4 linked regions of the Macaca fascicularis genome follow. The protein of the gene in region 4 interacts with the protein of the main gene of each other region in a pairwise test. Links are inferred from orthologs where the notes say so. Each region holds a gene or a part of one and is shown on either strand. Other genes may lie near its edges.

Region 1 (6,164 bases), on a different chromosome or scaffold from region 4:
GAGCTGGGCATGGTGGTGCTCGCCTGTAGTCCCAGCTACTTAGGAGGCTGAGGCAGGAGAATCACTTGAACCCAAGAGGCGGAGTTTGCAGTGAGCCAAGATTGTGCCACTGCACTCCAGCCTGGGTGACAGAGCAAGACTCTGTCTCAAAATAAATAAATAAATAAATAAAAATTTAAAAAATTGGTAGAGACAGGGTCTCACTATGTTGCCTAGGCTGGTCTTGAACTCCTGGTCTCAAGCCATCCTCCAGCCTCAGCTTCCCAAAGTGCTGGGATTACAGACATGAGCCAAGGCGCTGGCCACATCTGTTTTGAAAGAGGGCAGAGACCAGGGCATGGGACGGATCGGGGAGGGGGTACAGAATACCTGGGGCACAGCCCTAGTGCCCAGGACTGGGAGGAGGGTGGGGTGGAGGTGGGCATGTCACTTCACTGACGTCCTTTTTGTAGAAGGGAGTCTACAATGGCCAATGGGGACATATATCCTCCTCTATCCCCCTGCAATACCCCAGACTTCTATTAACTACCTGGCCTGGCACCTATTATTAAACCTCAGGGTTGGGAGGCTCAGGCAGGTGAATCACTTGAGGTCAGGAGTTCAAGATCAGCCTGGCCAACATGGTGAAACCCCGTTTGTACTAAAAATACAAAAATTAGCCAGGCTCGGTGGTGGGCAGCTGTAGTCCCAGCCACTTGGGAGTCTGAAGCAGGAGAATCGCTTGAACCCTGGAAGTAGAGGTTGTGGTGAGCAGAGATGGCGCCATTGCACTCCAGCTTGGGCAACAGAGCAAGACTCCTTCTTAGAAATAATACTAAGGGCCGGGCGCAGTGGCTCACGCCTGTAATCCCAGCACTTTGGGAGGCCAAGACAGGCAGATCATGAGGTCAGGAGATCGAGACCATCCTGGCTAACACAGTGAAACCCCGTTTTTACTAAAAATACAAAAATTAGCCGGGCAAGGTGGCGGGCGCCTGTAGTCCCAGCTACTCCGGAGGTTGAGGCAGGAGAATGGCAGGAACCCGGGAGGCGGAGCTTGCAGTGAGCGGAGATCGCGCCAGTGCACTCCAGCCTGGGCGACAGAGCGAGACTCCATCTCAAAAAAAAAAAAAAAAAAAAAAGATAATAATAATAAGATAAAGATAATAATAGTACCTATCTGATAGCCTTGTTGTGAGCATTTAATCAGATCGTATTTGCAAATTGCATATATAACATGGTGCCTGGTGCTCAGGAAGGACTTGAGAAATGCCAGCTGTTACTAAGGGAGGGCTGGCAGGGGATAGGACATGCTTCAGCTCCTGGTTCCTGGGTGCACCCCAGAGACCTCTACAGTGCTCTGGCCCTGAGCTGTGAGCTGACCCCTCCATGCCCAACAGCCCCGGCTGCCAAAGGACTCTGCCCTGCAGAGGCAGCCTCCACCCCCACCCCGTCTTTTGAGCTGGTCCTGCCCCTTACCCCACAGCTGCCCCACCAAGCCCAGCTCTCCAGCAAAGCACCACGTGGGGCCCTGGTCCTGATCACTGGAGCCAGCCAGTCAGAATTGGGGCCGGCCTGCCCTTCAGCCGGGAGCCGGGCACCGCCTCCCCCAGCGGGCTCCTGGGCCACCCTGCCGAGGTTGTTAGTAATAAAAACAACTACTTAATAAGCGGAGCGGCAGCCAAACCAATTAGTGCCAACCTACAGGAAGGTCTGGGGCAAGCTGAGGTCACCTGGAGCACTGGGCTTGTGGGAAGCCAGACTACTGTGCTCCAGACCAAACTCCTATCCTTACTGGCAGGCATAATAGGACCCTACGGGGAGATCAGGGTGAGGTGCCTCCCTTTGGGCACTGAGGAGAGGGGAAGCCCAGTGTGGTAGCAGAAGGTGCTACTGCAAGCCAGGACACATCTGGGCCAGAATGGTCTCTTCAGGGCCAGGGGATGGGGCACTGAGTTGGGCTGGGTTGAAAGAGCAACAGTCAAGGGCGAATGTACATGGGAAATATCAGTTTTGGTTTTGGGATTTGTGGGTTTTTTTCCTTTTTTGAGGAAGAGTCTTGCTTTGTCCCCAGGGCTGGAGTGCAGTGGTGCGATCTCAGCTCACTGCAACCTCCGCCTCCTGAGTTCAAGCGATTCTCCTGCCTCAGTCTCCCAAATAGCTGGGACTATAGGCACCCACCACCACACCCGGCTAATTTTTGCATTTTTAGTAGAGATGGGGTTTCACCATGTTGGCCAGGCTGGTCTCAAACTCTTGACCTCAGATGATCCACCCGCCTCGGCCTCCCAAAGTGCTGGGATTTCAGGTGTGAACCACCATGACTGGCAGGGTTTTCTATTTTTATTTTTTGAAACTGGATCACATTCTGTTGCCTGGGTTGGAGTGCAGGGTGAGATCATGCTCACTGCAGTCTCAAACTTCTGGGTTCAAGCAATCCTCCTGCCTCCGCCTCCTGTGAGACTACAGGTGTACACCACCACACCTGCGTAATTTTCAAAATTTTTTTGTAGAGACAGGATCTCACTATGTTGCCCAGGCTGGTCTGGAATTCCTGGGCTTCAGCAATCCTCCCGCCTCGGCTTCCCAAAGTAGAAATATCAGTACTGTTGTGGTTAGCCACCATTTATTGAGCACCTACTGTTGCTCAGCCCTGTGCTAGGGATTTGACATACGTTATTATGGCCTTTTATGAGGTGGGCAATATCACCCCTATTTCACAAATGAGGAAAGAGGTTTGGAGGGCCCAAGTGACTGGTACAGAAACCAAGTCTGTTTGGCTCCGAAGTCCAGGCCCTGCTCCCCTGCCCCCCGCCCATGGCCCAGAAGCTTGCAGGGCACTGAGTAAAAGGAAGTGAATTGCTAGCTAATGAAGGCCAGAAGGGCCTGGAACCCAGACCTCCTGCTTCCCGGGGTTCCCTTCATCAAGCATCAGGTGAACAGCCCCTTTCCCCTGAAGGGTCCAAAGCAATGGCCTCATAATCTAGTGCCTTACAGAGGGAGGCCAACAGCTATTATTACCCCCATTGCCAGATAAATCAACTGTGGCCCAAAGGAAGGAAACCTCTGCTTGGGACTCCAGCATCTCAGTGGTCAGGAAGAGAAGCCAGGAGCCACTGACCCTAAGGAGCAGGGTCCAGTGAGACAGGAAGGGAACCAGGCACTGGGGTTGCTGGAGTCACAAGGCGAGGTCCCCTTTTTCTTGGTTCTTTCCACATGCCACAGTCAAGGACAAGAACACTTAGGGGCTAAGCCTTATTCTATAAACAGGGACAATTGCTCTAGCAGGAGAAGGGATGTGGTGTGGGGTGGGACCTGACAAAAGGACATGGGGAAGAAGGAATGAAGAGGTGGAAGGCTGAAGGCTTGGGAGCACTTTTCCTGGCCAGGCAGGCATCACTGTGAGGTGAGGGCAGAGCCACTCTACCCCTAGTAGTGTGGGTTGGTGGATTTGCCAAAAGGGCTGCCTGGGGACACAGGTGAGTCCCAGTAAAGGTGACTGCTGAGCTCCAGAAGATGCGCCCGGGAGGGGTGGGGGTGCCGGCTTCCTGGGTAATTTTCAAAATTACTTCCTGGAGGGCGATTCCCAGCAGGGTGGCCCGAGGCAGGTCTGGCGCCCCCACCCTCTCGTTTGGAGGCTGGGAGGACCGGCGTCCCCGAGGTCCCACTCACCTCCGAGGCCATGTTGGGCAGTTCCTCGTCGTCCGGAAGCTTCGGTCCACCGGGTCTGGAAGACAAGACCGGACTGACGACCTCCTTGGCCAGCAGGGTCCCCCGGGCCAGGCTGGCTCCGAGCTCTGGGCACTGCGCTTGGCCGAGCGCAGCCCTTGGGAACACGGACGTGAGCGCATGCCACCATTCTCGGCGTCCTCCACGCCCGTCCCGCCCATCCGGCCGCCGCGCACTCACCTCCGCCTGGTCGCACGGACACTGTCGCGCCCGCCACTGGCCAGGGCTTTTCTGGCTATGGGATGGCGTCAGCAGCCGCCGGCCCTGTCCCCACCCCTGGCGGCGGCCGCGTCAATAGGAGGCAGCCCAGTGGGTTGGGCGTTGCCTCCGTCCTCCAATCCTGGCTGTGGGCGGGGACACCTCCGGCTGACCTAGGAGCTGAGCTGCACCGCGGCGGGGAAGCGGGCGGGTAAAGGGTCGGGGGGGCCCCGATGTGGAAGGGGGTTGGGCTGGGGTTGGGGAGGGTAGTGCCCTGGCGTTCGCGCTGCGGTGAGCAGACACGCAGGAGACTGGAGACTCGGGCCAGGGGTAAAGGCTATGACATCAGGCCCGGGCCTGGCGGGTTCACAAGATATATAAGGTGAAATGGCATGTTCGCCCATTAATTCATTCATTCAACAAACACGTACCAAGCACTTCTATGTGCCAGGTACAGAGTTAGAAAGGCATCGAGGAAAAAGGAAGGAACATCAGAAATAAAGCCCGTGCCAGGCGCGGTGGCTCACAGCTGTAATCCCAGCACTTTGGGAGGCAGAGGTGGGAGGATCGCTTGAGGCTAAGAGTTGGAGATCAGCCTGGGCAATGTAACAAGATCTCGCCTCTACAAAAAATTAATTTAAAAAAGAAAATAGCCGGGCGTGGTGGTGCACGCCTGCAGTCCTAGCTACTGAGGAGGCTGAGGTGGGAGGAGCAGTGGAACCCAGGAGTTCGAGGCTGCAGTGAGATATTGTGTCACTGCACTCCAGCCTGATTCCTCTAAAAAAGAAAAGAAATGCCGCCGCAGGCCGGGCGCGGTGGCTCACGCCTGTAATCCCAACACTTTGGGAGGCCGAGGCAGGTGGATCATGAGGTCACGAGTTTGAGACCAGCCTGGCCAAGATGGTGAAACTCCATCTCTACTAAAAATACAAAAATTAGCCGGGCACGGTGGCGGGTGCCTGTAATCCCAGCGAGTCGGGAGGCTGAGGCAGGAGAATCGCTTGAACCTGGGAGGTGGAGATTGCAGTGAACTGAGATCGTGCCATTGCACTCCAGCCTGGATGACAGAGCAAGATTCCATCTCAAAAAAGAAAGAGAGAAAGGAAAAAAAGAAAAAAGGCCGGGCACCGTGGCTCATGCCTTTAATTCCAGCACTTTGAGAGGCTGAGGCGGGCGCATCACCTGAGATCAGGAATTCGAGACCAGCCTGGCTAACATGCTGAAACCCTGTCTCTATTAGCCGGGTGTGGTGGTGGGCGTGTGGTGGTGGGCGCCTGTAGTCCCAGCTACTCAGGCAGGAGAATCACTTGAACCAGGGAGGTGGAGGTTGCAGTGAGCTGAGATCGTGCCACTGCACTCCAGCCTGGGCAACAGAGTGAGACTGCAAAAAAAAAAAAAAAAAAAAAAAAAAGGTGGGGGGACCGGCGCAGAGGCTCACGCCTGTAATTCCAGCACTTTGGGAGGCCGAGGCAGGCGGATCACGAGGTCAGGAGATCGACACCATCCTGGCTAACAAGGTGAAACCCCCCGTCTCTACTAAAAATACAAAAAAATTAGCCGGGCATGTTGGCGGGCGCCTGTAGTCCCAGCTACTCCGGAAGCTGAGGCAGGAGAATGGCGTGAACCCAGGAGGCGGAGCTTGCAGTGAGCTGAGATCGCACCACTGCACTCCAGCCTGGGCGACAGAGCGAGACTCCATCTCAAAAAAAAAAAAAAAAAAAAGTAAGGAGTGAAGGAGGGAAGGAGGGAAGAGGAGGGAAGAAAGGAAGGAAGGAGAAAGAAAGAAACAGAACAAAAGAAATGAAGCCTGACTTCAAGAAGTTCCAACATAGCATAGAGGAGGTGTGCAGGAAGCATGGGGGTGGAGCGTTGGGGGGCTATATTGGGTACTCAGGGAAGATGTCCTTGATCTGATTAATTAATTATTTAACCAAAATGACAGGCTGGATTCTAGGCACTGGGAGTACCCTGAAGGGGCTTCTAGTGAACCTGTCCTCTGAATTGGGTCTTGGAAGATGGGGGGAATTTGCCCAGGGAGGAAGGGGAGAAGAACATTCCAGGCAGAGGGAGAAGTCTGGACAAAAAAGGTGACTGGCCTGCTTTAAGAACAGGAAATCATCCAAGTGGCTATAATTATAACAAAAGGTAGGGAGGAGAGGTGGAAGGAGTTTGGGGGAAGGCTGTGAAGAGTTTTCAATGTCAAGAAAAGGAGTTTGTTCTTGGTCCTGTAGGTCATATAGGGAGCCCAAATCAATTTT
Region 2 (6,154 bases), on a different chromosome or scaffold from region 4:
TGGAGAGCGAGGGCTCTGGGAGGTGGTTGTGACCTCTGCTGGTTCTGGCTCCTCCTCAGTCAGCCAAGCCAGCGAAGCAGGGTCAAGAGTGGTAAAGGTTTTTGATTCTTCCTTCAAGGAAATGAAGAAAGGGAACGTAGATATTAATTGAGAAGGAAAAGATAACATCCCCCTTTAGCTTTAGGCCTAGCATTCTTACCTCTTCATTTCCAGGAGGTGAGACATAGGTACCCCCATTTTCGTCTGAAGACAGGACCTCTTGCAGGTCCTCATACCAGGCTTCCAGCTCCCAGCTGGACAGTGTCCCGAAGGAGAAAGGCAATGACTCAGCTGCCATCTCTGCAGTTGGATCAGTCTGGAAAAGCACATTTGCAGGGTAATGGGGAGTGGCTGGAACAAGCTCCATGTAGCAAACAGTCTATGCCACAGGTTGGCAAGCTGGTCTGATGCCTGTTTTTGTAGGTAAAGTTGTATTGGAATACAACCACATCTGTTTATTTACATACTGTTTATGGCTGCTTTGGTGCTACAGTGGCAGAGATGAAGAGTCACGCTAGAGACCATAGGGCTCTTAACATCTAAAATATTTATTATCCTGCCCTTTAAAATTTATCAACTCCTAGTTTATATTAATATTCCCTCCTTGCTTTTGCCCAGGACTTGAAGAAGCAAAGTGCCTGGATATCCATGCTTAGGGGATCTGGAGGACTAGTCAAATTCCTGTCCCCATCAAGGTTAGGCTGAGCTGAAGGACTATTTCCCTGAGCTCCCCACACAGGAGAAGGGAGCACAAATGACCTGGTAATTGCTCCTGGAAACTATCAATAGAGTTTGCAAGTGGGACTGAAGACTAGTGAAAGTTTAACCCTGACTGAAGACTGGTAAGGCAAACCAGTTGTCTTTGTTGGGGCTTTCTTTGAGGACCATCTTTCCATTAGGACATTCTTTAAGAAAAGTGGTTTGCTCACCTTGTAGGAGCAAGCCAGGAGAATAGACAGCCTGATAGCAAAAGCTTGCTCAGATTCAAACCCTCCTTTCCCACCTTCTCTAGGTCTTTTCATAATCTCTTAGGGTCTCAGCAAAAGGAGGCTAAGCAGCATCTCTTAGGACTTGGTTTTGGGAAAGGGTAGGTTAAGTTTACCTGCTTTCAGGTGTGGTGATGTATGAAGATACACTTCCTTCTTGAACACTGTAGGCAACAAAGAGAAATGTTAGCCATTTTTGGAAGGGGGAGAGGCAACTTATTTTTTTCTTTTCTTTTGAGACGGAGTCTCTGTTGCCAGGCTGGAGTGCAGTGGCGCAATCTCGGCTCACTGCAACCTCTGCCTCCAGGGTCAAGCGATTCTTCTGCCTCAACCTCCCAAGTAGCTGGGACTACAGGTGCATACCACCGTGCCCAGCTAATTTTTGTGTTTTTAGTAGAGATGGGGTTTCACTGTGTTGGCCAGGATGGTCTCCATCTCTTGACCTTGTGATCTACTCGCCTCCCAAAGTGCTGGGATTATAGGCGTGAACCACCATGCTGGGCCCTTATTTTTCTTTTATCTCCAGCCTCCTACTGGTCCGTCCTTACTTCTGGTCTTGTGGGGTATGCATACTTGGTCCCTGTAGCCATTTCCAAGGGCAGAAGAGGGCCTGACTTTATTTTTAGTTGCTGACATTTGTAGTCCTGGTTACATAATAGCAAAGTTCTGGCCAACTCAGCTTTCTCTAAATTCAAGGCAGGCCTTAAACCTGCCAGGGTAAAGACTAAACTATAGGGAAGGGAACAAATCGTAGCATTTTCCTAACTCCATTCCCACACTGACATCCTGTAGCATTTTCCTAACTCCATTCCCACACTGACATCCTCCAAATGTGTATTTCCAGTCTGGACCTCTTCCAGAACTTCCGACTCTGCTGTCTACTGCCTACTTGCCATTTCTTTTTCAATGTCTAATAGGTACCTAAGACTATGTGCAAACTTGTTGATTTTCCCCTTCCAAGGTCATCCCCATCTCAGATGACAACTCTAGTTGCTTAAGCTAAAAACCTTGGTATCATCCTTCATTCCTCTCACACCCTGCAATCCAAAGTACTAGCAAATTTTAACTTTTTTTTTTTTTTTTTTTGAGACGGGTCTCCCTCTTTTTGCCCAGGCTAGAGGGCAGTGGCACAATCTCCGCTCTGCAACCTTTGCCTCCTGGGTTCAAGCGATTCTCCTGCCTCAGCCTCCTGAGTAGCTGGGATTACAGGCATGCACTACCATGCCTGGCTGATTTTTGTATTTTTAGTAAAGATGGGGTTTCACGTTGGCCAGGCTGGTCTTGAACTCCTGACTTCGTGTGATCCACTCCTCTGGTCTCCTAAAGTGCTGGGATTACAGGCATGAGCCACCATGCCCGGCCCTTAACTCATTCTTTAAAAATGAGTTTTTAAAACTTTGCTTAGAAGAATTTAAACACCTCTAATTCCATTCTTTCCAATCTAGATCAATTCACCACCATCTCTCAATTACTGCAGAAACTTCCTGATTGCAGAAGGTCTTCCCATTTCTTCTCTTGCCACCCCTCCGTAAGTCTATTCACCATACAGCAGCCTGAGTGAACCTTTTAAAACAGGTCATTCCTCTGCTCAAAACTCTCCAGTGACTTCCTATGTCATGTCAGGGAAGTCATTGGAGGGTTTTGAGAGGAGGAATTACCTAAGGTAATTCCTGACCACCTGATGTAACACAGTAACCTCCATCCTGAACATTCTCCATTCCTTTCTCTGCTTTAGCTTTCTCCATGGCACTTATATTTTGTTTACTGTAGGCCTCCCACTGAGATGATTTTTTCCTCTTGCTCACGGATGTTCCCTGAGCCCCAAACTGTTTGGCACACAGTAGGTCCTCATTAAGTATTTGTTAAGAATGAATGAATTCTCCCCAATCTCTCTTATAGGGAAGGGGCAGACGCAGAGTGGCAGCTGCCGATCCCTAGGGACTGGAGATGCAATATTGCCCGAAATATTTCTCTGCAGGGCTGTCTTCCCTGGGGAACCCTCCCTTGCCTTCCAGTGCGTGGGACTTGGCTTTCATCAGCAGTGGAGCCTCAGGTCAGAAGGCTGCAGAGCCAAACGGGGCTGGCCTGATGCAATGGTTACACAGAGATTAGCTGGGAGACAGGACCGGGTTAAAGAGGCAGGGACTAATCCCGAGGGAAGGACGATACCCTGGGGAGACCCCAAATGGCCTCCTACACTTAAGAGATCCAGGCTGCTCTCTTGTGCGGGAGGCCCAGAGACCTCTACGGCAAAGGGAAAACACACCGCTCCCTGTCCATCGGCACCCCTCCCAAAGGCTTGTGTCAAGGTTCCCCTTTCAGCCCTGCAGGGTCCAGTAGCCCCAGCTACCGAGGTGGCCATGCTGACACCAGAGACGCTGAGACTGAGACAGGATTGGGGGTAGGGTAGGGAGAAGGCCGATGGTGGCGAACGGGCGGAAACGGTTTGAGCGATGGTAACTCAGTCTTAGAGCGGGGGTGTGTCCTGCTGCCTCCCCGCGGACAGGCCTAACGAGGTGGCCTGAAGTTGGCTACGGGAGAGAATGAATTTCCCTAGGGCAGCCGAGGTCCCTTTGCCCAGCAGCACAGAGCAGGGCCCATGCTCCGGCTCCGGGCAGGGGTGGAGAGACGCTGTCGTCCGAAGCAATGGGGGTTTGTAAGCACCACCCCAGAATAAGGGACTCTCCCCATTCCTCTCTCGGACGGTCCCTGACTTCACTGTGGAGGCGTGAGGCCAATCCTAAAGAGCGGATGCCCCAACTCTGAGGAGACGGGAGGGCAAAGGGCAGATGGGAGTCAGTACTCGCCTCTCTCCTCAGGTTCCAGCTCTGATTTTGGCTCTGTCGCTGCCACCCGCTCATCTTCAACATGATACGCTCAGTGCCTTAGACTTAAGCCTCTGACCTCGGGAGCGCCTAGCTGTAATCTTTTACCATGGCCTTGCCCTCCTCTCAGGGGCGGGACCCCAAAACCTACCAATCAGAAAGTGGCACGCCGGCATTGGCCCCGCCTCGTCCCTCGTATCCGCCACTCAGGAGCTCCGCAGAACCGCCCCCGTCGCTCCCTCTCGCTAGGGGGTCGACGTAGTGTCGGACCCGGAAGTGGCTTTGGGTCACGAGGCTTCACGGAGGCGGTGGGTGAGTCATGCGCGCGCGCGGAGGGGAGTGTAGCGGGGGGAGGGGAGGAAAGGGGGGCGGGGATGATGCAATGTTTGGCAACTGGTGTCTGCACGCGCACGCGCAGGGGACTACGAGGGTGGTGGGAGGTGCAGAGGGTGGGGGAAAGGAGAGAGGGCGGGGCGCCAGCTCCCGGCGCCCAACGGCCCCAACGGCTATCAGCGTTGGCCGTCCGTAGTCGGTCGTGTGGAGCCTCTTTGCCGCTTGTCTCCCCCAGAAGCTGCTGTTCCGCCCACCGAGCTTTAGCCGGCGTTTTACCTCCACTATAAGGGACTCCCATTTTCCTTGGCCCCTCCCAGCTAATGGTCATATAGGCCTTTTGAACTTTTCCTTTGAAAGTTGGTATCCATCCACTGGGATTGTCGACATCTCGAGAGTCTTAGAGAGGTCTCCGGGCTCGGTGACTCATGCCTATAATCCCAGCACTTTGGGAGGCTGAGGAGAGCGGATCACTTCAGGTCAGGAGTTCCAGATCAGCCTGACCAACATGGTGAAACCCCGTCTCTACTAAAAATACAAAAATTAGCCGGGTGTGGTGATGCGCGCCTGTAATCCCAGCTACTCTGGAGGCTGAGGCAGGAGAATCGCTTGAACCCTGGTGGCGTATGTTGCAGTGACCGAGATCGCGCCACTGCACTCCAGCCTGGGTGACAGAGCGAGACTACGTTTCACCGAAAACGAAAAACAAATAAAAAAAACCGGGGTCGTCTAGCCCCGTAAATCTCCCAAAAGGGGCCGAGGTACTGGAATCCCTTGGTAGTCATTTTCCGCTTCTCTCACAACAGCGCCCTTGACTTTTACCTTGGAGTTGCTAAGCCCTCAGCCTGCCAGAAGTCATGTATTTTACCCAGTGGACCCAATTCTGTTTGGCCACCTATTTTCCCCCACTATACTCTTACGGCTTTCTCCAATACCAAGACCCTCTCTTGCTGTACCAGACAGCAAGTCCTGTGACTCCCTGCTGTGAGGAGCGCGGCACAGGCCTGCCTCCTAGGTGTTCGGGTCGAGATTTACAGCGGAGTCTCATCCTGGGACGTGTAAGTGCACTTCAGCGCAGGACCGCCGTGGACTGGGGAGACCGGGGCCGCGATTTTAGCCTCAACTCCCCCTCACTTACCAAGGGATCTTACCGTCCTTGTTTGTAAATCAACGAGTTGTAAGGGTAAAATGAGAACCATGAACTTGGAGGCAACTTGAACAAAAGTAAAACGCACCACGCAGAATGCAAAGTATTTTTCTTGTGCCTTGAAAACAGAGGCCATGTGGTGGCCTGTTACATATCCTGTCATACCCTCATGGGGGCAGCCAGAGTTTAAGTAGAAACTGTCACAAGGCCGGTTGTGACTGGAGTGGTGTTTCTGTGACAGGTCTTTGGTTAGGCTGCTCCGTTGCTCCACACCTCCATTTCCCCTCTGAAAATGGGGGTGGTGTGGGGGGTGGACCAGATGGTCTCTCCTGGCCTAAAGACAGACCAGGTTGTCAGTGACAGGCAGAGGTCATGTGACTTGACAGGCCGAGGTCGTGTTGTGACATGTTGACCTGGAGAGGCGGGTCAAGTCCCAGCACACTACCCGGGAAGCCTTTGGGGCGGGGCAGGGCAAGTCGCGACTTTCATCTTTCGGGCCTGGCCCCTCCCGGACCTGGCATTCCTGGCTCCCGCAACAGACTGTGGCTTTGGAAGGGGCCCCTCCCCGAGGAGGGCTGGGATTGGCCACCAGTGGCCTGGGGAGAGGCGCAGATCCTTCCGCGGAGGGAGGGGGGCCGCGTGGGGTGTTTGTTCTCTTGGGGATTAATGGGGGGTTGTGGGGGAGGGGTAGGCGCGCTCCCGCATGCGCACTGCGGCCCCTCCAGTTGGCTCGTCGCTGTCCGCTGGGCGGGGGCCCGGCCCCGCCCCTCTCCCGGCCGGGCAGCGGCGGAGGCGGCGGTGGCTGCGGCGGTGGCTGCGGCAGCGAC
Region 3 (5,528 bases), about 100 Mb from region 4:
AAAAAACTTTTAAAAAAGGTAGCTGTCAGTCAGGCATGGTAGCTCATGCTTATAATTCCAGCACTTTAGGAGGCCAAGAAGGGCAGATCACTTGAGCTCATAAGTTTGAGACCAGCCTGGCCAACATGGTGAAACCGCATCTTTACTAAAAATACAAAAATTAGCTGGGCATGGTGGTATGCATCCGTAGTCTCAGCTTCATGGGAGTCTGAGGCAAGAGAATCACTTGAACCCAGGAGGTTGAGGTTGCAGTAAGCTGAGACTGCACCACTGCACTCCAGTCTGGGTGACAGAGCAAGACTCCATCTCAAACAAAAAAACAAACAAACAAAAAATAGGGGGTAGCTGTACCTAGCTACTCAGGAGGTTGAGGTGGGAGGATCACTTGAGCCCAGAAGTTTGAGGCTGCAGTGTGTTATGATCACACTACTGTGATCATAGAGCAAGACCCTGTCTCTTGCTCTAAAAAAGGTCTGGGTGCAGTGGCTCATGCCTGTAATCCTAGCACTTGGGGCGGCTGAGGCAGGCAGATCACTTGAGGTCAGGAGTTCAGACCATCCTGGCCAACATGGTGAAACCCTAGCTCATCTCTGCTAAAAATACAAAACATTAGCTAGGCACGGTGGCGGGCGCCTGTAGTCCCAGCTACTTGGGAAGCTGAGGCATGAGAATTGTTCGAACTCAGAGGGCAGAGGTTGCAGTGAGCTGAGATTGTGCCACTGCACTTCAGCCTGGGCGACAGAGAAAGGCTGTGTCTCAACACAAACAAACAAAAAAATGAAGGGAGAAGAGCAATTGCACGGGGGCTCATCCAGCTGCTCCTGGAAACAGCTAATGGAGGCTCAGTAAAGAGGAACTCAGAAACATGGCGAAGCACGTCTTCTTCCCTTTCTTCTCTCAGGCTAGCAGTCAAGGGCTGCTTTTCAGTGTGGTCAAACTGTAATACCCCAGGGGAAAAGGTCACTAGATTGGAATATATTATACTGTTTGGAAAGAGCATCCTGTGTTAGCATACCTTTTGGGCTTGCTTGGAAAACCAGAAATCACCATGCTATGAATGTCCAACTCACCTGGCTACCTTAACCATGTTGGGCTTGTATTTCTCTATATTGCTGAGTAGTGCTTTCATGGTCCTCCCAGTTCCGACGACATCCTTTGCAGAAAGGACAGATAAATTCAACAAAGTGCATCTGAGCAGCACAACAGACTTTTCATCCAGGGCGATACTCCTGATTAATAATGCATCGTAATTAAAAATGCCATCCAATTTGGAGCCAAAGGAGGAGGAGGAGTGGGTTATGTTTTATCTAGACAGGCACTTCCTTCTGGAAGCTGAGTTTTGGGGAATCTACCGGAGACTCTTTCCTCCTTGAATCCTTTAGCTGTGTTGAAGGGCCAAATTTAGCCTTTGGACAGCATGTGGGACTCCTCATTGAGTACATTTGGACTCGCGTATGCACATTCAAGGACTAAATTTGGCCCTGAGGTTATGTAACACAATACAAGGCACATGAATTTTCATGGATATGTACATCTGAATACACTGAATGGATAAATGCCTCCCCCTCATCCTCCCCCACTCAATAGGGCATTCTATGGCTGGGAAGTGAGAGGTGTCTGGACAGCAGCTGGTGACAGCCTGTGAATTCTGAGGGTCCACGGCTGCAGTGAGCTCGGGCTCATCTCCGCTGATGAGCTGCTGCACAATTAGAGGAGAATGGGCAGCCGCGATTTATTGTCCTAAGGACAGGAATCAGCTGTCACGAGCTGATTATCAAAACAACAGGTCTGAATGTAACCAGGCTTGGGCAATTCATTTGGTGAGAGGGTCTGCTCCATGGGTTATACTGAGCAAGAACTCCAGATACACATGGCGCACACAGGCAATTGTGTAGCAAAAGGTTGAAAATAGCTCCCCTGAATTTTTTGCTGTTTGATGAGACGAGCATGCTCCTGAAGGAAACGTGGCCATTTGCTGTATTAGTCCACTACTGCCATAGGGATCCCACGTTCTCTTTTTTAACAGAAAAACAAACGTAAAACAAAACAAAACAAAACCAAAAAAACCCAAAACCATAGCTTTCCCCATAGCTCACCATTTTTAATTGATTGTGTTTATGATTTTGATGCTGAAAGTATTTGAGAATTCTCAAAATCGTCAGAGGTCCTTAGCAAAAACACTGAATTCAGGGCAAACAGAGTTCTAACCTTGGTTTCATTGTGAAATGAATTTGGTTCGGTGAGCTAGTTTCCTCTTCTTTAAACTTGTCTGATTCACAAAGAACCATAAGAATCAACACAGAGATACGTGGAACTGGATACACAAAAAGGACAAAGTCGTCCACAAATATTGTTGCCAAGCTCTTATTCTACATTATTTGAAATCAGGGATGCTATTTGGCCCGTATTCATTAAATTTGGAGAGCATGCACCCAGTGGGAGCTCAAGAAATCCTTGGTCAATTTGATAACAAGGTGTGCAGTTTAAAACTCACCATTAGAGTCTTTCAACCTCCAAGTATGGAAAGGAAATGCCAGCTTACCTCAACAATGAGAACATTCTGAAATAAACAAAACCCGTATTTTAGAATGCGATGCCAATCTGACTCACAGGATACATACACATTTTTTTGCTTATAGTTAGAATTTCACAATTTGCTCAGACAGTCCTTCCCCATCCATCTAATTCAAAGGACTAGAGGTGATCTAGGTTTTCCAGATTCATTTTAACAGGTCCTCCGGCATTAGTTGGTGATGCAATGTTAGTATCTATATTTAGGTTAGAAACAAGCTTATGTTAGACCTGTCTGACGAGCTCTCCATAAAGTCATCCCTTCTCAGTAATTCTGCCAAGGGCCTCCCACCCCCACCTGGGAGGCAAAGCCTGTTAAGAGTTTCCCAGGAAAACAATGCAACATGAACCGCATCACTAACGGAGATTGTGCTTGGTAAATGCATCATGGGTTCAGCTGTGACAGCCTTCCTCTTGCACGACCACCAAAATCCCTGGGGACTCAGGATTTCCTCTTGGATTGCCAACCTAGATGAAGACAGTAGGCTAGAGAAAGGACTGGGAGGTGCCTGGTGTGTATTTTTAGTGAGATGGTTAGATTCCTTGCAACAAGGTCTCAAGGCATTCCTCTACCTCTTCCCTAAGCACACTGTGATATGGTTTGGATTTGTGTCCCTGCCCAAATATGCTGAAACGTAATCCTCAGCGCTAGAGGCGGGGCCTGGTGGGAGGTGACTGGATCAGGGGGGTGGGTCTCATGAATGGTTTAGCATCACGTCCCTTGGTGGTGGTGTCCTGATAGTGAGTTGCCCTGAAATCTGGTTGTTTAAAGGTGTAGGACACCTCCCCCTCTTTCTCTTGCTCCATGTCTGTCTCCAGACATGTGAAGTGCTGCTCTCCCTTTGCCTCTGCTATAATTTTTTTTTTTTTTTGAAACAGCATCCCACTCTGTCACCCAGGCTGCAGTGCAGTGGTGCGATCTCCGCTCACTGTAACCTCCGCTTCCCGGGTTCAAGCGATTCTCCCACCTCACCTTCCCACATGGCTGGGATTACAGGTGTGCACCACCACGCCTGGCTAATTTTTGTATTTTCAGTAGAGATGGAGTTTTACCATGTTGGCCAGGCTGGTCACAAACTTAGGAGCTCAAGTGATCTGCCCTTCTTGGCCTCCCAAAGTGCTGGGATTACAGGCACGAGCCGCCACACCCGGCTGCCTTCTGCCATAATTTTAAGTTTCCTGAAGCCTCCCCAGAAGCAGAACAGATGCCAGCGTCATGCTTCCTATACAGCCTGTGGAACTGAGAGCCACCTACACCTTTTCTCTTGATAAATTACCCAGTCTCAGGTATTTCTTTATATCAGTGTGAGGAAGGACTAATACACGATGATTGTACTACATTTTAATTTCTTGTTTGATATGTCTTCCCCACTATATTCTAATCGCCATGAGGTGGGGATCATGTTTGTCTCGATTCCTACCATATTGCCAGAAACTAGCATAATGCCTGCATATAAGTGCTCAATAATTATTTGTTGAATAAAGCAATAACAACTGATTAAACTTATTACTGAGTTAAAACTGACCGATTAATTGGATTAGGAGTGACATGTCAATGCTGCCCCACCAAATTAAAATATGACTGTGTTAATATGCCATCCCAATTTACTAAATGGTGAGACTATTCTTTCAATGTAATGGTGTTTTTCTTTCTTTAGATGACTTTACATTTATCTCTATGATTTATACAATACTTTAAGAATCATGACCCGGCACAGTGGCTCACGCCTGTAATCCCAGCACTTTGGGAGGCCGAGGTGGGTGGATCACCTGAGGTCAGGAGTTCGAGACCAGCCTGGCCAACTTGGTGAAACCCCGTCTCTACTAAAATATACAAAAATTAGCTGGGTGTGGTGGTAGGTGCCTGTAATCCTAGCTACTCAGGAGGCTGAGGCGGGAGAATCACTTGAACCTGGGAGGTGGAGGTTGCAGTGAACCAAGATTGCGCCACTGCACTCCAGCCTGGGTGACAGGTAAGACTCCATCTCAAAAGAAAAAAAAAATCAGATCAAATACTACACATTAGATAACTTACTTATGTTTAATGCAAGATTTAATTAATAAAAATGTTAACCACCCACCCACCAAACCAGCCAACCAACAACTCTGTTAACTTTGCACCATATGTCAAATGCATTCTTATGTGAAAATATCTTCTTGGAAGTGTTTTTCTGTCAGGTATGACATTTTTATTCATTAAATCCATTGAAAATCTTAATTTTATCATGGAAATACATAAGATTATTTTGTCTATTTTTGAAGCAAGGCACCATTCTTTCAATATATTTTAGTATATTGAAACCCCTTCTGTAACAAAAACTACAAGAGTCATGCTGCCAGGGGAGTCCCCTTGGTATTTTGAACACAAGTTGCTATAATCTTAATGGCCAATTTGCAGTAGTTGCTTGAGATGTGCATTTTTAGTTTGATTGAGGCTTACCAATCAGACCTATAAACCAACCAGAATACTTGGAGAATGTTGTGATTCATTTAATTTTCTGGCTCACAATCTCTTTTTGTTTCAACTTTATAAAGAAAAACCTTTCTAAAATGTGTTAGTCTGCATTCCTGCCTAATTAAGTAGAGTGCACGTATTGAATGTAATTAAACATTTTTTTGATAGTACAGAACCTTGCAATACAATAGAGTCATCTTTGAAAAGATTTGCTTCAATTCTAAGATATAGTGGTAGGTGGGAAGTAGGATTTGGATGAATAATGATATTGAGAGACACTGTCACAATTATTCAAATACATTTTCAAATCAATGTAATGCATACACATGTTTAAAATAGTTTGAGGCCAGGCGCTGTGGCTCACACCTGTAATCCCGGCACTCTGGGAGGCCAAGGCAGGCAAATCATCTGAGGTCAGGAGTTTGAGACCAGCCTGACCAGTATCTTGAAACCCCTTCTGTACCAAAAAATATAAAAATTAGCTGGGCATGGTGGCGCATGC
Region 4 (5,528 bases):
GCTGTGGTTGTGCTACTTACTATTCCAGCCTGGGTGACAGACTGAGACCCCATTGACCAAATAAAATGTCTGGTTTTCAACAAAAAGGTACAAAGAAACCAGAAGGTATGGCTCACACTTTGGGGATAAGGGAGTCAGTAGAAACTGTCCCAGAGGAAACTCAAACATCAGACAAAAAGACTCTAAGTTGGCTATTTTAAACATTCAAAGAACTAAAGGAAACCACATAAAAAGAACTTCAGGAAAATATGAGAATCACCAAATAGTATCAATAAAAAGAGAGAAATAATTTTTTAGAAGGAAATTAAAAATTCTGGAGTTGAAAAACATAGTAAAAATTCTCTAGAGGTACTCAGATTTGACTAGGCAGAAGAAAATCACTAAACTTGAAGATAAGTTCACTGAGATTAGTCTAAGAACAAAAAAAGAAGAATGAGGAAAAATGAACAGAGGCTTGAAGACCTGTGGGATACCATTAAATGCACCATCAGATACATAGTGGGGGTGTCAGAGGGAGAGGAGAGAGAAATGATGCAGAAAGAAACATGGCCAAAACCTTCCCAAATTTGTTGAAAACTTCCCCAAAATGTGAATTATTCTGCACCTCCAAGAAGCTCAACAAACTCCACGTAGGATAAACTCAGAGATCTACACACAGACACATCATAGTCAAAACTGTCAAAAGCCAGAGAATCTTGAAAGCAGTGACAGAAAAACGACTCAGTGTGTACAAAGGATCCTCATCAGAAACTAGCTGGCTTCTCAGTAGAAACAAGAGGCCAGAAAGTGGCGGGAGCACATACTCGAAATGATGAGACAGACTATAAACCAAGAATTCTACATCCAGCAAAACTAGCCTTAAGGAGAAATTAAGACATTCCCAGATAAACAAAAACTTAAAAGAGGGCTGGGCGTGGTCACTCACACCTCTAATCTCAGAATTTTGGGAGGCCAAGGACAGAGGATCACTTGAACCCAGGAGTCTGAGACTAGCCTGGGCAACACAAGGAGACCCCTATCTCCACATACACATCAAAGAATTAGCTGGGCACACTGGCACATGCCTGTAGTCCCAACTACTCAGGAGGCTGAAGTGGGAGGATCGCTTGAGCCTGGGGGGGTTGAGGCTGCAATGAGCCACGATCACAACACTGCACTCTAGCCTGGGTGACAGAGCGAGACCCTGTCTCAAAAAAAAAAAAAAAAAATTTTTGCACAAGTAGACCTGCCATGCAAGAAACACTAAAGGCAGTTCTTCGAGGTGAAATGAAAAGATACTAGGCAGTAACATGAACCCACATGAGGAAATAAAGGTTGCTGGTAAAAGTGACTGCATAGGCAAATAGAAAAAATAGTACAGAAGTCTTCTCTGTTTCTTTTTTCTCTAAAATTAGACAACTGCAAAAGCAGTAATTCTAAATGTGTTGATGTACATACAATGTATAGAGAGGTAACTGTATGACAGCAGCACAAGGGAGAGGAGAAGGACGGAATTATAAAGGGGCAAAGTCTTTGTATATTATAATTAAACTAGCATTAGCCACACAAATTTTTTTAAATTAAAAATAACTAAACAAACTGGCATTAATCCTTAATAGATGATTATACTAACATGTTAAGTTTATCCCCCTGGGGCAGCCACTAAGAAAGTAACTTCAAGGGATTAAAATGGGACACTGGAAAATATCTATTTCAAACAAAAAGACAATAATGGAGTAATAGAGTAATAAAAAAAGACATGACAGAAAACAAATAGCAAAATCACCTCATCAGTAATTATGGTAAATGTAAATTGGCTGCATACTGCAATTCAACACAGGGAAATCCTTTATTTTAACCTAGACATACCTTGGTTATTTCATCAGATATGCTATATTCCAAGAATCTCAAAAGGGTTAAATAAATGCGGAATTTGTTCAGCACGGAAGGCAGCACCGCTGAGAGAAGGCTGTTCATGTATTCTTCCATGTTTGGTGGAATTAGCTGGGGCTGTAAGTGAATCTGGCAGTCTGCCTGAAAAGAGAAGAAGTACACTGTATTTTCTGAGTTCCTAAATTAAATCTACATTTTTAAAGAAAGATGCATCATCCCTGTCAGCCCCTACAGGAATTAGAAAATACCATTTATTATTTAGGGGGAGGGAATAATTTTTTTTTTTGTATGTGTGCAAGACAGAGTTTTGCTCAGTCGCCCAGGCTGGAGTGCAGTGGTGTGATCACAGCTCACTGCAACCTGCCTCCCAGGCTCAAGCGATCCTCCCACCTCAGCCTCCTTAGTAGTGGCACCACAGGTGCATGCCACCACACCTGGCTAATTTTTGAATTTTTTGTAGAGACAAGTTTTGTCACATTGTCCAGGCTGGCCTCAAAGTTCTGGGCTCACACAATCCACCTGCCTTGGCCTCCCAAAGTGTTAGGATTACAGGTGTGAGCCACTGCACCCAGTGAGAATCTATTTTTAGTATTACTTTACATGCTTTATAACTACCTCAGAAATAATTATGAAAGTTAGCTTTTTCTTGGTTACTTCAATGGTATCAATAAGCACACAAAAATGTAGCCAACCTCTAAAAAGCAGCTAATTAAAAAGGCCTATCACACTTGCACACAGAGAACATATCCTTGAGCCATTTCATTCTTATCAAAGACTGTTTCTCATCAATCACAGGTGAATACTATTATACAGAGACTATAAACCATTTGACAACTGGGAGCATTTCCCATCCTCCTTAGAATTAAAAGCGCTCTTTACCAGCCGCTCTGAGGACATAACAGAGCATTTCACTGTAAAGCATGAAAATAACTACCAAGTAACCAAGGACATTTTCAAAGGAACTCTAAAATATTTTTCACATAAGATTAGCAGAAAACAATGGGTCAAAGGCAGCAAGAACAGAAGTCTGGAGGTTAAAATCAGGCAATCTTGCTATGCTTTGATGTGGGTGTTTCTGCTGCCAACAGCCTTGCTGGTCTCATGACTTGCTGATATCTGAGCTTGGCAGATGTAAGGTTTTCATCCATGGCAGTGCAAAATACTCAGTTCCCTTAATGATCAGCAGTCACAGTTTTTTTTTACAACAAATGTAACTTATTAATAAGCGGTACCAAGAAATAGCAAAAACGTAGGTATTTTTCCCATGTCAACCTCCCTCCATTTAAAAATGACTCATTGTACCGGGAGGAGTGACCTCCCCTCCGAAGTAATGAGAACGTTGATATTGCAGGGGAATTCCATCTGATGGTAGCTGAAGTCATAATCCACCTTCTGCCACGTTATGAGGTTGCTCAGGGCAGTTACATTATGAACACCTACGAAGGCAGGAAAACACTTTCAGTCATTTGACTTTAATCATCTCAACAAATCAGTTTTGCTGACACCAATGATAAGCCATGAAGTTTCTACCGCTTTTAATAAAGGGTATGAGGCGCTGTCCAATTTACTAAGCTAAACATCACTAAGTGTGTAGGCTTACAACACTCTTGGTCAAGGTAGAACTTTATGGGGCCAGGGGATCCCCCCACAAATCTAATACCTAGCATCTGGTATGCACCTAGACATAAAATAGTTCCCAAGCAAGCACAGTTATTTCTAAGTGGTGTATTTACAGGGCTAAAATAAGGAAACACTAAAACTACCTTCATACATAGATCAGCCTAGTGAATTTTACAGATTTTATATTCCCCTTTGCCTTAAACGTGCCCAGTCTACCTCATTTTTTCTTCTACCTTTACCTCTTGAGCTGATCACCAGCAGTATATTCTTAATTGTCTTCATTTGAGCACTAGTAAACAATCTGCTTCTTATGATTTTATAATATATTCTATAACTGAGGTTAGTGCAAACCATTTGATTATTTTTCAGATATTCTCTGAAAAACGTTTAAAAACTTTACAATGGGAGGTTAAAAAATAATTAGCCAGGCATGGTGGCGGGCGCCTGTAGTCCCAGCTACTCGGGAGGCTAAGGCAGAATGGCGTGAACCTGGGAGTTGGAGCTTGCAGTGAGCCGAGATTATGCCACTGAACTCCAGCCTGGGCAACAGGGCAAGAGTCTGTCTCCAAAAAAAAAAAAAATCTGTTAGATCAGCTTCTTCCCATTTCAGTTTTTTAAAAAGCTATTTGGGGCAGGTGCAGTGGCTCACACCTATAATCCCAGCACTGTGGGAGGCCAAGGCAGGAGGATCACTTGAGCCCAGGAATTCAAGATCAGCTGGGCAACATAGTGAGACCCTGTGTCTACCGTTCCTTACACTCACTGAATGAAAAATTTTAGGTTATATACAACTACACAAAGAACCCAACATTGTAGGCCCATACAGATGGCTCCAACCATCTGCTGACGCAATAAAACTTTTCACCGAAGAACCCTTATGACCCTCAACATCTAATACTACCCTTTATATTACTGCTCCTTTATATTAATACTACCCTTTATATTATTGCTCCATTATAAATAATATATAAAATATACAATTATATATTTTTATATTATTAATTACATATTATTTATATTTTATATATTATTGCTCCATGTTATATATTATTCATATTATAAATTATATATAAATTATAAATATAAAACCTATAAATATGTATTATTTTTATATATAATATATAAGATATATGATACATAATATAGTATCTGTTCTATTGTACTCCATTATATTAATACTACCCTTTATATTATTGCTCCATTATAAATAATATATAAAATATATAAGATATATATTAGATAGAAGATATGATACATTTTATATATATAGTATCTGTTCTACTGTACTACTTTCAGAATACTATGGCAAAACAGAGTTGGTATATACAATTTAATTAGTTTATAACATGCTTTAATCAAATTCATATGCCAAGCCTTTATCTTATGTTATTTGTTAAATGTGAATTTGTCTTTGTCCATAGATACTCTTCTAAAAGTTTATTCCTAGATCTGGCTTTAGTGGAAAGGAAGTCAGAAATGGAAGGGAAACATCTATGTACGTACCTGGGGTATCCAGCTGCCCCTGTTCCAGGAGAGTCTCATCGATTACAAGGGAAGTATTGCTGGGCAGCTGGAGGAGCCCACTGACCAAGCGATTGGCTGTGTAGTCTTTGTGGGGAATGAATTTCAAATGGTTCATGTTCTCTATAGTCATCTGTAGACGAAAAGACTGCAAAGAGAAATTTTTTAGTGAACAAGAATTTAAGTTTCCCTGTTTTAAGAAAATATGTACTTGGAATTAAGCACTGTGTTTCATATGGAAAAAGTGATCTTATAAATTTCTAAGGGAGCAGTGATATGGTTTCTCGAACTCTAGAAGCAAAAATAGTATCTAGATCTTACATTTGAATTTCATCCATTCTATGAGCTGCTTTATTTTCAAATGTCTTGTTCAATATTCTTGAAAATCAATTTTTTTTTGGCTAGGCATGGTGGCTCAAGCCTGTAATCCCAGCACTTTGGGAGGCTGAGATGGGCGGATCACGAGGTCAGGAGATGGAGACCATCCAGGCTAACACGGTGAAACCCCCCCGTCT

Evidence for each region.
Region 1: the proteins of MCMBP (region 4) and ASL interact in binary tests that used the Homo sapiens proteins (3 or more experiments, as listed by UniProt). The two-hybrid records come from large-scale screens. The link is inferred for Macaca fascicularis from reciprocal best matches to the Homo sapiens genes MCMBP and ASL.
Region 2: the proteins of MCMBP (region 4) and DDIT3 interact in binary tests that used the Homo sapiens proteins (3 or more experiments, as listed by UniProt). The two-hybrid records come from large-scale screens. The link is inferred for Macaca fascicularis from reciprocal best matches to the Homo sapiens genes MCMBP and DDIT3.
Region 3: the proteins of MCMBP (region 4) and PRTFDC1 interact in binary tests that used the Homo sapiens proteins (3 or more experiments, as listed by UniProt). The two-hybrid records come from large-scale screens. The link is inferred for Macaca fascicularis from reciprocal best matches to the Homo sapiens genes MCMBP and PRTFDC1.

The regions. Positions count from the first base shown.
Region 1 is NC_088377.1:60,336,868-60,343,031, forward strand, and holds the start of ASL (argininosuccinate lyase), read right to left. Parts: upstream 3,948-6,164; 5' UTR 3,889-3,947; intron 3,707-3,888; 5' UTR 3,664-3,706; coding exon 3,652-3,663; intron 1-3,651.
Region 2 is NC_088385.1:64,326,621-64,332,774, forward strand, and holds the start of DDIT3 (DNA damage-inducible transcript 3 protein), read right to left. Parts: upstream 4,117-6,154; 5' UTR 4,002-4,116; intron 3,931-4,001; exon of another isoform or gene 3,896-3,930; coding exon of another isoform or gene 3,833-3,895; intron 1,190-3,832; coding exon of another isoform or gene 1,148-1,189; 5' UTR 1,142-1,147; intron 451-1,141; 5' UTR 407-450; coding exon 200-406; intron 112-199; coding exon 1-111. Other genes in the region: DDIT3 upstream open reading frame protein, read right to left, coding at 1,148-1,189, 3,833-3,895. UniProt on the Homo sapiens protein: Multifunctional transcription factor in endoplasmic reticulum (ER) stress response. Plays an essential role in the response to a wide variety of cell stresses and induces cell cycle arrest and apoptosis in response to ER stress.
Region 3 is NC_088383.1:25,634,803-25,640,330, forward strand, and holds part of PRTFDC1 (phosphoribosyltransferase domain-containing protein 1), read right to left. Parts: intron 2,561-5,528; coding exon 2,543-2,560; intron 1,154-2,542; coding exon 1,071-1,153; intron 1-1,070. UniProt on the Homo sapiens protein: Has low, barely detectable phosphoribosyltransferase activity (in vitro). Binds GMP, IMP and alpha-D-5-phosphoribosyl 1-pyrophosphate (PRPP). Is not expected to contribute to purine metabolism or GMP salvage.
Region 4 is NC_088383.1:128,850,051-128,855,578, forward strand, and holds part of MCMBP (mini-chromosome maintenance complex-binding protein), read right to left. Parts: intron 5,162-5,528; coding exon 4,996-5,161; intron 3,309-4,995; coding exon 3,175-3,308; intron 2,014-3,174; coding exon 1,849-2,013; intron 1-1,848. UniProt on the Homo sapiens protein: Associated component of the MCM complex that acts as a regulator of DNA replication.